Linked DNA regions of Xenopus tropicalis. The protein of the gene in region 1 interacts with the protein of each later gene in a biochemical or structural test. Links are inferred from orthologs where the notes say so. Each region holds a gene or a part of one and is shown on either strand. Other genes may lie near its edges.

What was found. The genes of interacting proteins can lie anywhere in the genome.
Region 2: the proteins of slc9a3r1 (region 1) and adrb2 form a complex in vitro, tested with the Homo sapiens proteins (3 studies listed by BioGRID and IntAct, with this or other methods). The link is inferred for Xenopus tropicalis from reciprocal best matches to the Homo sapiens genes NHERF1 and ADRB2.
Region 3: the proteins of slc9a3r1 (region 1) and abcc2 form a complex in vitro, tested with the Homo sapiens proteins (2 studies listed by BioGRID). The link is inferred for Xenopus tropicalis from reciprocal best matches to the Homo sapiens genes NHERF1 and ABCC2.

The regions. Positions count from the first base shown.
Region 1 is NC_030686.2:43,959,101-43,963,377, reverse strand, and holds the start of slc9a3r1 (Na(+)/H(+) exchange regulatory cofactor NHE-RF1), read right to left. Parts: upstream 2,927-4,277; 5' UTR 2,908-2,926; coding exon 2,611-2,907; intron 1-2,610. UniProt on the Homo sapiens protein: Scaffold protein that connects plasma membrane proteins with members of the ezrin/moesin/radixin family and thereby helps to link them to the actin cytoskeleton and to regulate their surface expression. Necessary for recycling of internalized ADRB2.
Region 2 is NC_030679.2:41,027,380-41,031,771, forward strand, and holds the start of adrb2 (beta-2 adrenergic receptor), read right to left. Parts: upstream 2,927-4,392; 5' UTR 2,717-2,926; coding exon 1,457-2,716; 3' UTR 1-1,456. UniProt on the Homo sapiens protein: Beta-adrenergic receptors mediate the catecholamine-induced activation of adenylate cyclase through the action of G proteins. The beta-2-adrenergic receptor binds epinephrine with an approximately 30-fold greater affinity than it does norepinephrine.
Region 3 is NC_030683.2:35,437,882-35,442,194, reverse strand, and holds the start of abcc2 (canalicular multispecific organic anion transporter 1), read right to left. Parts: upstream 2,927-4,313; 5' UTR 2,826-2,926; coding exon 2,784-2,825; intron 1-2,783. UniProt on the Homo sapiens protein: ATP-dependent transporter of the ATP-binding cassette (ABC) family that binds and hydrolyzes ATP to enable active transport of various substrates including many drugs, toxicants and endogenous compound across cell membranes.

The DNA of each region.
Region 1 (4,277 bases):
GCTTTATTTGGTAGGAAATCTTATTTTTATTTCAACCAAAACTTGCCCCCAAGTCAGGAATTCAAAAATAACTCCCTGGTTTGGGGGCACTGAGAGCAACACCCAAGGGGTTGGGGAGCAACATGTTGCCCCAAGCCACTGGTTGGGGATCATTGGTCTAGATAAAGTGGGCATTACTCAGAAACATATGTCAGTTCTACTTGGAGGAGGAGGGGGGGGGTTCTGATTGGTACATAGGCTGGTAATTGATGCCAATCCAGGATAATGGCACAGCTCCACCACCACCAACACATAGGGTACTATATACCCTTCTCTATAGAAAGAATTAAATACCCAAGTCTAGGATTCATGCCAGGCAACTGAGGCACTCAGGTACCCAGCTGAAGCTGCCACACCAGACTGGAGCGGTGCCATGCCAGGGCTGTCTTTAGTGCTGGCAAGGCCCAGGGGCAAAAAGCTTGTTGAGCTGCAACTGACTTTGTATCTAGAATAGTTGTGCCGAGACAGCCGAGCCTCTGTTATAAAGTCCCTTCCTAGAAGCCTTTCCTGGAACTTATACCCTGTGGGGTCCCGATTACTCTCTGGCCCATAGTTTGCTTCCCACTAATGACAGCGGCATCCATCATCAGCTTGGCTGCCGTGTGTGGCCGATCCACTAAACGGAGAATAGCGTACCCCCAATTGTAAATTATAAGGATATTAAAAGTTAAAGAGATCCATATAAGGCAGGTGTCCCAAACCTTTTTTACCTGTGAGCCACATTCAAATGTAAAAAGACTTGGGGAGCAACACGAGCATGAAACCTGTTCCTAGGGGTGCCAAATAAGGGCTGTGATTGGCTATTTGGTAGCCCCTATATGGACTGGCAGCTTACAGGAGGCTCTGTTTGGCAGTACACCTGTTTTTTATGCCTCCAAAACTTGCCCCCAAGCCAGGAATTCAAAAATAAGCCCCTGTTTGAAGGCCACTGGGAGCAACATCCAAGGGGTTGGGGAGCAACAAGTTGCCCCTGAGCCACTGGTTGAGGATCACTGATATAAGGACATGAGGTCAATGGTTGTTGGCATTCCATGACCAGTCTAAAACCACAAGGCGTTCTATTGGTCATGGAACAAATGGTGACTTCTAATATCATATTATATAATAGTGGTACGGTTTTTATAGACACAGTGAGTCATATGACAAATTACATCATTAAAATTAAAGATAACTGATGACATCACTATGCACCACGTAGAAGAACCCATTTTACAGGAAATCATGGCTCTTTGATTATATCTTTATAATTTACAGTTTGATCACTCCCCTATGGGATCCTTATAAACGGTGCCTAGTGATGTCATCAGTTATAATCAGAGCTCAGTGATGTAATTTCTGTCACACAAATCACTAAAACTTGGATATTATAATAAAGTGCCCCCTGTTGTAAAATATGAGGATATTACAAGTCAGCCTTCAGCTCATGCTTTTATATAGTAAAGGAACTCCTCTGTGACTTATAATATCCTTATATTTTACAATAGGGGGGTACATTATTCACTATATATTATAAGGAACTCCTCTGTGACTTATAATATCCCTATATGTTCCAATAGGGGGTACATTATTCACTATATATTATAAGGAACCCCTCTGTGACTTATAAAATCCCTATATGTTACAATAGGGGGCACTTTATTCACTATATATTATAAGGAACCCCTCTGTGACTTATAAAATCCCTATATGTTACAATAGGGGGTACTTTATTCACTATATAAGGAACTCCTCTGTGACTTATAATATCCCTATATGTTACAATAGGGGGCACTTTATTCACTATATATTATAAGGAACCCCTCTGTGACTTATAAAATCCCTATATGTTACAATAGGGGGTACTTTATTCACTATATAAGGAACTCCTCTGTGACTTATAATATCCCTATATGTTCCAATAGGGGGTACATTATTCACTATATATTATAAGGAACCCCTCTGTGACTTATAAAATCCCTATATGTTACAATAGGGGGTACTTTATTCACCATATATTATAAGGAACCCCTCTGTGACTTATAATATCCCTATGTTACAATAGGGGGGACTTTATTCACTATATATTATAAGGAACCCCTCTGTGACTTATAATATCCCTATATGTTACAATAGGGGGTACTTTATTCACTATATATTATAAGGAACTCCTCAGGGGCTTATAAAATCCATATATGTTACAATAGGGGGTACTTTATTCACTATATATTATAAGGAACTCCTCAGGGACTTATAATATCCCTATATGTTACAATAGGGGGTACTTTAGTCACTATATATTATAAGGAACTCCTCTCTGACTTATAATATCCTTATATTTTACAATAGGGGGTACATTATCCACTATGCAAACACAAGTTCAGCATTAGAAACTCTAGCAAGAGCAGTATATACCCTGGCACTGCATGGCATCACTTAGCAGGGGTAGGATACTACGTATAAAGCCAGCAAACTGCCCCGACCCCCCCATACTGAAGGGGAAGCTATTATCAGCAGGACTCCAGTAGGCAAGTCATGTGACCAGGTGCAGTGGGCTCGCCAGGCTGCCCCCATAATTCGCTCTGAGCCGAGTACCTTGTTTTCTTCTTTAGGGGAGCTGGGGGCCACCTCCTCCTCTACTCCCTGTACCTCCAAGGTGAGTTTCTCAGTCGCTGCCCGGATTTTGCTCACCACCTGCTGGTGCCCGAGTTCCCTCACATCCTCCCCGCACACCCGGATGAGCCGGTCCCCTGCCCTCAGTCCTGCTTTCTCAGCTGCTGAGCCAGGCTCCACCAGCCTCACATACTGGCCCGGCCGGGTCTTCTCACTGTGCAGATGAAACCCGTAGCCCGAATCCCCCTTTTCCAACACGCACACCCGCTCCGAAGCCATATCGAGCCGCTACTCTGCGCCTGACTGAACTCAGGCTCTGCCAGCTTATAGATTATATAGCGAAAGGGAGGGCGCGGCGGTGACAAATATGAGAGATGTCCAATAAGAGGGCGGGGACAGTATTGCCGAGGGACGTGATTGGAGGAGAAAGTTCAGAGAGAGGCGCGCCTATTCCAATGAGCTTACGCGGGATTCGGGCCCTCAGAGTAAAGTTTAATCAGTGCCGCCGAGTCATGTGACCCGGGGAATATAATACGGCCCATAGGCACAGGTGGCATCTTTACATGTCTGCTGTCAGTGAAACCACTTTAATGGGTCATTTGACATCCAAGCAGCATCTATAAACCTGTACATAGACTGACCCAACTGAGTATGACAGAACATAGAGTATTATTGCAGCACCTCAGGCAGCAGGGTGGAGCTGTGCCAGTGAGGGGAGGGGTGGGGGGGTTGATGATGGCAGCAGTGTTTATAATAGTGAGCAATTAGTGCATTCAGCATGGGGACTTTGCACTGGAGATTAATGAGCAGCTTGAGGCATCCAAAGAATGTGAGAGGAGGGAGCAGTACAACTCCCCAGTACCCTGGCATGCACCTGCCCCTCGCCTCATACAGCTCCTCAGGCACTGCCCCTCACTGAGGCTACCATTATTGTGCTGTTTAGCTCAGTGTTATTTGCTCACCGGGGTGCCATTCTAGAGAGCTGTGCATGACACAATATATATGCTGAATTCGGAAGCGGCAGAGGTGCGCACTGGGACCCCAGGGGCCCACCAGAGAACCTAAGACCATGGGCCCATTCTCCAAAATATCCTCCTTTCTTCACAACCATTTTATTCTCCTAGTCTGTTTTATTTACATGCTAGCATCTATTCTTCCATCTATTCCTTCTCTTTCTTCCCATTCAGAAATAGGGAATGACCATGAAACAGGCCAAATGGTCAGGAGCAGGAAGGCCCACTGACCCCTGGGCCCAGCGGGAGTTTTCCTGGTATCATGGTTGGCTGGTCCAACACTGGGTGCCAGGGTCGGACTGGGCCGCCCTAGTGGGCCCAGTCCGACCTTTGCCGGCGCTCCCCCTACTGACTGTTCCTCCCCTGACGCGTTCAATTTATACGCGCTCGGGGAGGACGTCAGGCGGGGGGGTTAGGGGGGCCCCTGGGGGGGTTAGGGGACGCGGCTGGGGCACTTGCAGGGCCCCTGGGGCGGGAGCCCCGGTGGGCCCTGCACCCCCCAGTCCAACCCTGCTGGGTGTGCAGCACATGGGGTCCCCCTAGAACGCCCCTCGGTTAGAACCACACAAGTCAGGGTGCACTAGGAGAACCAGTGGGTTAACTATAGGGGAATCCCTCCCCCACCCAGCTGTGATG
Region 2 (4,392 bases), on another chromosome or scaffold:
CTGTGGTTTCCTAGTTTATGCCTAAACATACCCCATTAAATCTATACTGAGTAGAATCATTGAAGAGACAAGAGGAAACAACCCGCAAGCTTGTCTTTAAGTGCTGCTGAACTACAACTCTCAGAATCCTACCACTGTCATGGGCAACTGCTGAGCACTGTAGTGCAGTCACATCTGGAAAGCCCCATATTTTGCTCATAACCCAGAGATAACTGATTAATTACCCTGACAGGACTTGGTTTCAGCCAGAGATCAGACACTACAGAACAGCAGTAGGAACATCTGTTCTGCCCCATCTAGGAGACAAGGACTCATTTATCTCGCAAATAGGGATCTAGGAGGCTGGGCTCACCGAAAAAACAGATTAGTTTGCCATCAAGAAGGGGATGGGTCCTCCACTCAACTTTGGACTTCACTGCTAAAATTAGATGAACTAAGTTAGACCTTTAACCCTTCTATCCTTAAAATACACTTTTGGTTAGAGGCTCCAGTATACGTGACAGTCACTGCAAATGTCAAATTGCTTATAAAAAGTGCCACTTTCCAACCTGCAACAGAGGGGTTAAAGGGGAATGCAAAGATTGGCACAAACCTAAAAGGGTGGCTGGAAATGTATTGAGTTAGCTCTGCGACTTTTTTTTTTTTTTTTACTGCATTTCCTCCCTGAGAAACCATGAAAAAAAAGAATTTATTTACAGGTGCAAAAGTACACAATGGTGGTAACTATAGCAACTATTCTGATATTATTTTACATGGTTTCACAGCAGCTTGCAAAACACGACCAACCAAAGCTGGTTGCTATAGGTTACTGCAATTGTGCCTTTTTGCACCTATGCTGAATGACCCCCAAGGGTCTCTCCTGGTTGCAACACACAGTTTTCATCAGTCTTATACAGAATATACGTTTTCCTATCTCTCACAACCCAACTTTTGCAATTTCAAAAGTTCAAAATATTAAGCTCAGCACATTAACCCCATCATTACTCAGGAGAGCTATCTCAAGGAAAGTAGAATTAACCCTGTCCCTTCCGCCAACAGCAGCTGTTTTTTGTATTATTAAGGGGTAGAAAAGGGGGGAAAAAGCAAGATTTTTTTTTTTTAAGTTTCAGAATTCTTGAACTTAGAATTCAATTTTTTTTTAAGGGTTTGAGGTAGATTTTTCTTCAGTAAAGTACACAGGGCAGCAACATAAAAATATAAAAGCCATTACATTATAACAAAAGATCTCTTACCTTAATTTAAGAGGAACTGAAAATAGACAGAAATGTACATTTTCTCATAATAAATTTATACATTCTGCAAGACATGGGCACTGCCCTTCTGCAAAATATACATATATAATATACATATAAAAACATTTTCCTTTGTATTATACATTCGGATATCTGGTTGACCCTTGTATTGCAATAATCCAGTTTGTTGTAATAGTTCAAATATTAAAAAAAAATCGACAATCCTATAATAAGCAATCATGCGTGTTATGATTCTTGCCCAGTGGTTCCAAGCTAAAATCTAGAAGAGTACCTTCACAGTTCAAAAGGGAGGGATTGGGAGTTTTCTCCTCTTTAAATAAAACTTCACAAGTCCTGTCTTTAGAATACTGACAAGGTTCTGTGTCTTCGTTGTATGCACTGTTCCCATTGCTCTGGGGGTACCCATTGGCATAGGCTTTGGAGCCCGGTTTCCTTAAGCACAGCAGCTCCTGAAAAGTGTATCTGAAATCTGGGCTCCTGCAGTAGATTAACGGGTTAAAGGCAGAGTTGACATATCCCACCCAGTTCAAGAAGTTGTAAACTTTGACAGGGATAAAGTCTTTGTGCATCACCTGGACAATGTTGACTATAAAAAAGGGGAGCCAACACAAAGTAAAAGTGCCCATTATTATCCCCAAAGTCTTCAGTGCCTTGTGCTCCTTCAACCAAAACTTTGAGGTCCTTTTATTTCCTTGCTTACCATTGGTGTCCTGTTGGTTATTCTGGTTGTGGAACCTTCCCTCGCTTTTGTCTATTTTCTTTAGTTGTTTTTTGGCCTCCTGGAAGACCCTTGCGTAGACAAAAATCATGACCACCAGAGGTAAGTAGAAGGAGATGATGGAAGAGGAGATGGCATAAGCAGGGTTGGTGAAGAAAAAACAACAGGAGGGGTCATCATAGCAATGCAAGGCACTCTCCTCCTCTATCCTATACCAGTGCATGTAGATGGGGAGGAAAGAGGTAAGTGTGGACACCACCCACACCAGCAGGATGACAATCCTGGCTTTGCACTTGGTCAGGAGGCTCTGATACCTGAATGGAGAGGTAATGGCGAAGTACCTATCCACTGCAATGACGCAAAGGGTCTCTATGCTGGCAGTGACGCAAAGGATATCCACTGATGTCCAGAACTCGCACCAGAAGTTATTGAAAACCCAAGTGTCCAGGATGATGGAACTCGCTCCGAAGGGCACCACTATCAGCCCCATCAGCAGGTCCGCACAGGCTAAAGACGTGATGAAGTAGTTGGTGACCGTCTGCAGCCTCTGGAACTTGGCTATGGCAGTGATCACCAACACGTTGCCGAGCACAATCACCAACACGATGCAAGACATGATTATGCCCATGCCCACCATCCACGCATCCCCGGGCTTATCGCTGGCGTTGCTAGTGTTGGAGACGTTGGAGACCAGCTGTTCGAGGGTGCTGTTAGGGTAGGGGCTGGCGGTGACCCGCTGTTCCATAGCTTTGCAGTCCCTTTGACTTTACTTCCACTTGTTAGGAGTCGGTTGGGTGTGACACGCAGCGCTGAAAGTACTCCTGCCCCGCGTATATCCAGCGCATTTAGCCATGGGGGAGGCGGAGTTGCCCGGTGTCGTTCATTTGTGCCCGTCCTGTTTGTGGGGCGTTAGACATGGAACTACCTCTCTCTCCTGAGAGTCTCTTCTGATTCTGGGCTGTGGGCTCGCCTGCTTTCTTTTATTAACACCCGCCCTTACGTCACAACGGGCTCCAGCCAATCCCCGGAGAGCAAGAGCGGGATACCGCGTAACACCGGCTGGTCGCTGCCTTTCTCTTTTCCTTTCGGAAGTTGCCTGCGCTAATAGTTAGCTGCGCTATACTGCGCTATACTGCACGGCGGATCAAACGGTGCCACTTACAGGCTTTAAGCAGGGTGGGCTCGAAGTTGCACGGCAGTGCATCTAATCAGTTGCTGATGTACAAGTACAGCCCCTGGTATCCCCCGAGAGTTCGAATTCTACAGCTACTGGGGCTGACTGGACATTACTGGACTCTTTCTGCGATTGGCAGATGTTTAGCTATGTCCAAAGTTTGATGTTTAGGTACAATTCCCACCATTGATTAGTTGGATAGCTTGTGTTACATATCCCCCTGCTTTAGGGTGAAGACACACAGAGCTACTAGTCGCAGCTTCTTTTTCACAGCTACTAAACGCCAGAAAATACCCTCCCATGGACAATACTGAGAATTGCCTCTGCTAAAACACAGGTACAGCCAATTATCAGTAAATGATCAGCATTGTCTACTTTAGTATATATACTAGTAGCTCTGTGTGTCTTCACCCTTAAGCGTCACATAACCAGCTACTACTTGTATTTTATTTATGATTTATTTCTTGTCATTCTTTTGCCCAGTGTATCTGATATCTGTGCAACACCTATTCTGCATTGCAGAGGCTATTGTGGCACTATGCGCTAATGGGTAAGGGCAGTGAACAGAATAGGAAACAACGTCAATCATTTAAACACTAAAAACAGTCAGAACTGTAATTTATGTACAGAGTTGCAGCTATGAAGGCATGCTGCAACCAGCTAACCCATTCCCAAGGGCAAAGCAATAATCAGAGCAGGGAGGGTGAAGACTATGGTGGCCCCATACTGCTAATTGTTGCACCTCTGCTTTCTTCTAATTGTTGCACTGCAGCCAAGAGCAGAGCCCATGGGCATATACTGTATGTATGGGAAGAAAAGAAGTCGGCAATAAACCTTCGGACTATGTATAGTAATTGTATCTACAGCTGTCATAAAAGATATGTTCAAATTCTTCTTCAGTGCAGAGTAAACTTGCAAAAAGTACAGAGAAAATAGAGCTGCTATATTGTATGTGAGTGTACTGAAATAACTTGCCACCTAGGTAATTATTAAGTGAGAGTTTTGCTTTTGGCACATATTAGTGGTACCAGGGGGGCAAGGGGCTACTTAGATCACCCCATTGCCGTAGTAGCTTTTGTGGTGATGTGGCCCAAAAAACTCACTCGGCAGGCCTTTCAGCTGTTGTTGAACTACAGGTCCCAGAACACTAAAGAATTCCCCCCCGTATTCAACGGTCATTGGGTGCTGGGAGTTTAATAGCAAAAAAAAGGCTCATCTTGCTTTACTCCCCCTACTATAAGCAGCAC
Region 3 (4,313 bases), on another chromosome or scaffold:
AAAAGCGCCTGCACTAGTTATTACTTGCTGATTGCAGACAGACAGTGTTATTCTCCTCATGTGCTGGGTCTGACAGAGCAATGGTTCTCAACCTTCTCGACCCTTTAATACAGTTCCTCGTATTGTGGTGACCCCCAACCATAAAATTATTCCTAAGACTATTGGAAATATGTGTTTTCCGATGGTCTTAGGCGATCCCTGTGAAAGGGTCGTTCGACCCCCCAAAGGGGTCGCGACCCACAGGTTGAGAACCTCTCTGATAGAGCATTCTGAAAGATATGTATCTTCCCTTTAGAGTTTTTTACAGACACTGTGCCACCTCCCTTCTGTGGTCTTAAAATCCTTTTACAAGAAGTTAACCTAGGGCCTGGTCTTGTGGCCAGTTTGTGTGACCTGATATTATAGGGCTGTGCACAGACAAACAAGTCCAAACATTAAATAGGTGGGTAAAGAAGAAACATATCCTCAATATCCTCCAAACTTAAAGTGTATATTGCCATAAAACAAGGTCCATAACATATATGTGTCATGTCTTGGGACACTATTGTGCTGCATTAATGGCCTTAAATTGGCCTGGAAAAGACTGGAAAAGCCTTTGCAGATAGACACCTCACAAGTAGAACACCTCACAATCAGAACTCTTCCGTAATCATGATAATTCCGATTCAAACATTGGCTCAAGAGGTTCTTCAGAGGTATAGGTCATCAACCATATAAACTGCTTTTAGATCATAGTGTCAGGCATATATCTGGCATCACGTGAGTTAATCAGAAGTTGTTCTGGAATAGTTTGGGTTCCAAGCCATTATTCCTCCTCTTGGGAATTCAGACTGATCACACGCATATTATTCCAACATGCTTATAGGAGCAGTAATGTTACACATAAAATCTGTATCTGTTTAACCAACAACTACGAATTAACTATTTGTTGGCAACAAATATTTTATATGAAAAAGGTTTTCATTTTATAGTCCTTCAGAGAGCCATGAACTGCATTTAATTTCTGTTTAACTTCCTGTGAAACAACTAAACACATTGTATAATATACAGCTTATCTGTGATCTGCTGTGTAACCTTTGCCTTTTTTGCCTTATTCAGCCTGAATAGCTGCTTACATTGTTATATAGCAGCTTATTTATATAAACTATAGCAGTGTTTCTGAGGCAAACACACCAGTTGCACCAGTGCAGGGCAACAGTACATTATATTTCAATGCATATAAAACACTATCATCTCTTGGTGTTACAGTCCCTTTAATAGGAAGCATAGGCCCATATGATTACCTCTCTCTATTGCAAAAGTTCAGCATGAGCGCATTGATTCTCCATTTGTGGTGTTCTATAAACAAATTAAGAAAAAGCAAAATCCTATTTATTTGGCTCATTTTTAATACTGGGGAATTCATCCCCTTTAAGATAAGGGCTAGTTATTACAAGAACAGTAAACTGACGCAGATTCTTGCAAGGTGAGGCTTTAATAACACATGGTATTAAAACGAGGACTCGTTGTTATGGTTACAAGTTACAGGCTAGGAGCATTTGCACCTTGGCCACTTGAGTGAGGGATCATACTACTGTGCTGATATCGCTGTTGAACAATTCCATGATTGGAACTGAGGATTCTGTGCTTTATTTACACTGGAGTACTCACTTCCACTGGTTACTATATATCGCAACCCCCTGCTGAACTGACCCATACACACTGTATTGTTATGTTTGATAGCACATTTCATATATCTATACTGAAAAAAGGCATGGTTTTGCATAAAGATATACCAAGAAGCTAATCAGATAAAGGGTAGATTAAATGGGATCTTCTGTTTCAATGTTACCATATATTATTTGAGCATAGTATGGGGCACTACTTATACTGGCATTATTTGAGGTATCAGTCTATACAGTCAACAAGCAATTCAAGGGGACATGCTCTGTTGGACAACTTTTTGTGGGATTACAGCATAATAGGAGATCTAAAGGGGGTGATAGAAGGAAGGTTGTGACCAGCTAGCCTGAAAGGTTTAGAAAGGCTAACACTGCAAGCTGAGGTGGATAGGGATAAAAGCAAAGGGGGAAAAAAACTATACTCACTTATTAAAAAACACACAAGGGGGAAAATGAAAATGTCCCACAGAGAGATTAGTTGTGCGCTGTAGCAGAGATCTATCGGGGGTGACTAATCTCTATGTGGGACCTTAGCCCTAAAGGTATATGTTGATACATGGGTCCCTGGCTAGAACCATCCTGACAATGATTCCTAATGACTGGAGGATGATCCTGCCCTGAGGTTGAGGGTAGCCACATGTATATAAATAAATATATGTATAGATAATGATAGACAGATCTGACAGACAGATAATTATAGACAGACCGTCAGAATACAAAAATTAATCATATAATAGATCAATTAACTAACCAAAAAGCACATTTATATTGTTTTCAAGAGCCATTGAATACATTATTTCATCTTACATCTGTCTTTTGGTAGAAATATTTAACCCCTACACCCTAAGGAGTCTGGATAATAGAACTAAGCAGTGAAATACCTACACAGGATTTATTAAGTTCTCATAATACACATCACTCATACACTTCAAGCCTAAATTTATTGTACCCTGCTCAAAGATCATTGACCCACTATATGTACTAAAAAAAGAACGGGAGTATCACATGAGCATGTTTATCCCATTTATATCCAGCAACAACCACCTTATTCACCAACCAACACCTTCCATATTATAGCCATAGACAATGATAATAACTAGGAATATTAAGCACTCAACTCACCCAGAAAATAGAGCCACAATATGAATCCAAAGCTTTAGACATGCTGGTAACTCAGACGGAATCTCACGGGATCCACCTGCCTTGGGATTGTGCTGAGGAATAATAATGTTATATACTATTAGGAGCACTACTATCAGTATGAATCAGCAGGTTAAAAGTCGCCCCCCGCCCACACTGCTCTCTATCCTCTTGAGGTGCATCTCAATCTTGGTTAAATTTTAACCACTTTAACTTCTTTCATGAGCCTGCTCCATTTATCTGAACATGAGACTGATGTTTCTGTTGTTAGGAGCGCTGTTCTGTTTGAATGGAATCTCATAGTGAATATACAGCTTGGATTGTTCCCTTCCTGTTTAAGAAAAGCTTTGCCACAGCCCAACTGGAATTTTTCATGCCATTCTTTAAACTGATCATCTGGATGTCAGAAGGAATAATCTAAAAAAAGCATTGAACTTAATGACGGGATGTAGGTCAATAGGACGAGGACCACTTCACCGACAGGAATTTTAAACCTGCCCAATCAACATCTGGCCAAATTTTGGTCAGATATGGGTCCAGTAGGCCTGTCTGAGGGCCCCACACATGGGCAATAAGCTGCTGACTTGGTCCATAGGCAGCTTTAATCAGGCCATATATTGCCTTGTATAATAAAGATTGTAACAGCCAATACTAAAAAATAAAATAGAAGAAAAACATCAAAACAAAATTAATAAAATAATATCTAATAATGTGTAATAACTTGGTTCAACTTTCCCTTTTCTTAAAGGGGTGTCAAGTGGGAGCGGATTTTGGCCAGGCCATCCTACTATAATTTTTCCATCACAATAATATTATCTATATTGGTTTTTATCACTGCAAAATCCAACTTCATAGTACGCCATGATTTTGCTATTAATTGAATATGATGATCAGTTTATATTGAGAGTTGGATAAGCTTTTAATTGCTTTGTTTAGGAGAGTTTTGTAAGGATTTTTTCTTAGGGTAAAGACATTCAGAGTTTTTCTAGCAGCTACTTGTCACGGCTACAAAAATAGACAATGCTGATAATTTACTGAAAATTGTCTTTACGTGTGTTTTAGCAGAGACAATTCTATTGTCTATGACAGGGTATTTTCTGGCATTTTGTAGCCGTGACAAGTAGCTGCTACTAAGTAGCTCCGTCTGTCTTCGCCCTTAATGATATTTCCCATAACATTATCTATCGTATAAATTCTTATCCATAATCCCATGCCAAAATATACATAATCTGATTATTCTAAAATGGGTGAATACTGTATTTCTGTTTTATAAGACCCCCAAATAAAAGAGGACCCCAGAAACCGTATATTTCAATTCAAAATCAATAAGTATGTTTTTTTTACCATAAACTAACAAAATGCAAACCTTTTCTAGACTTTTGATGAAAGTTTTGAAAAGTGTCTCAAAGCTTGAATTCTCCAGCATCAAATGCCCCGCATATCTTTATGTACAAAAGAAAACATCCTTAATGTGAATGCCAGGGGTCTTCTGAATTCTGTTTGATGTCCGAT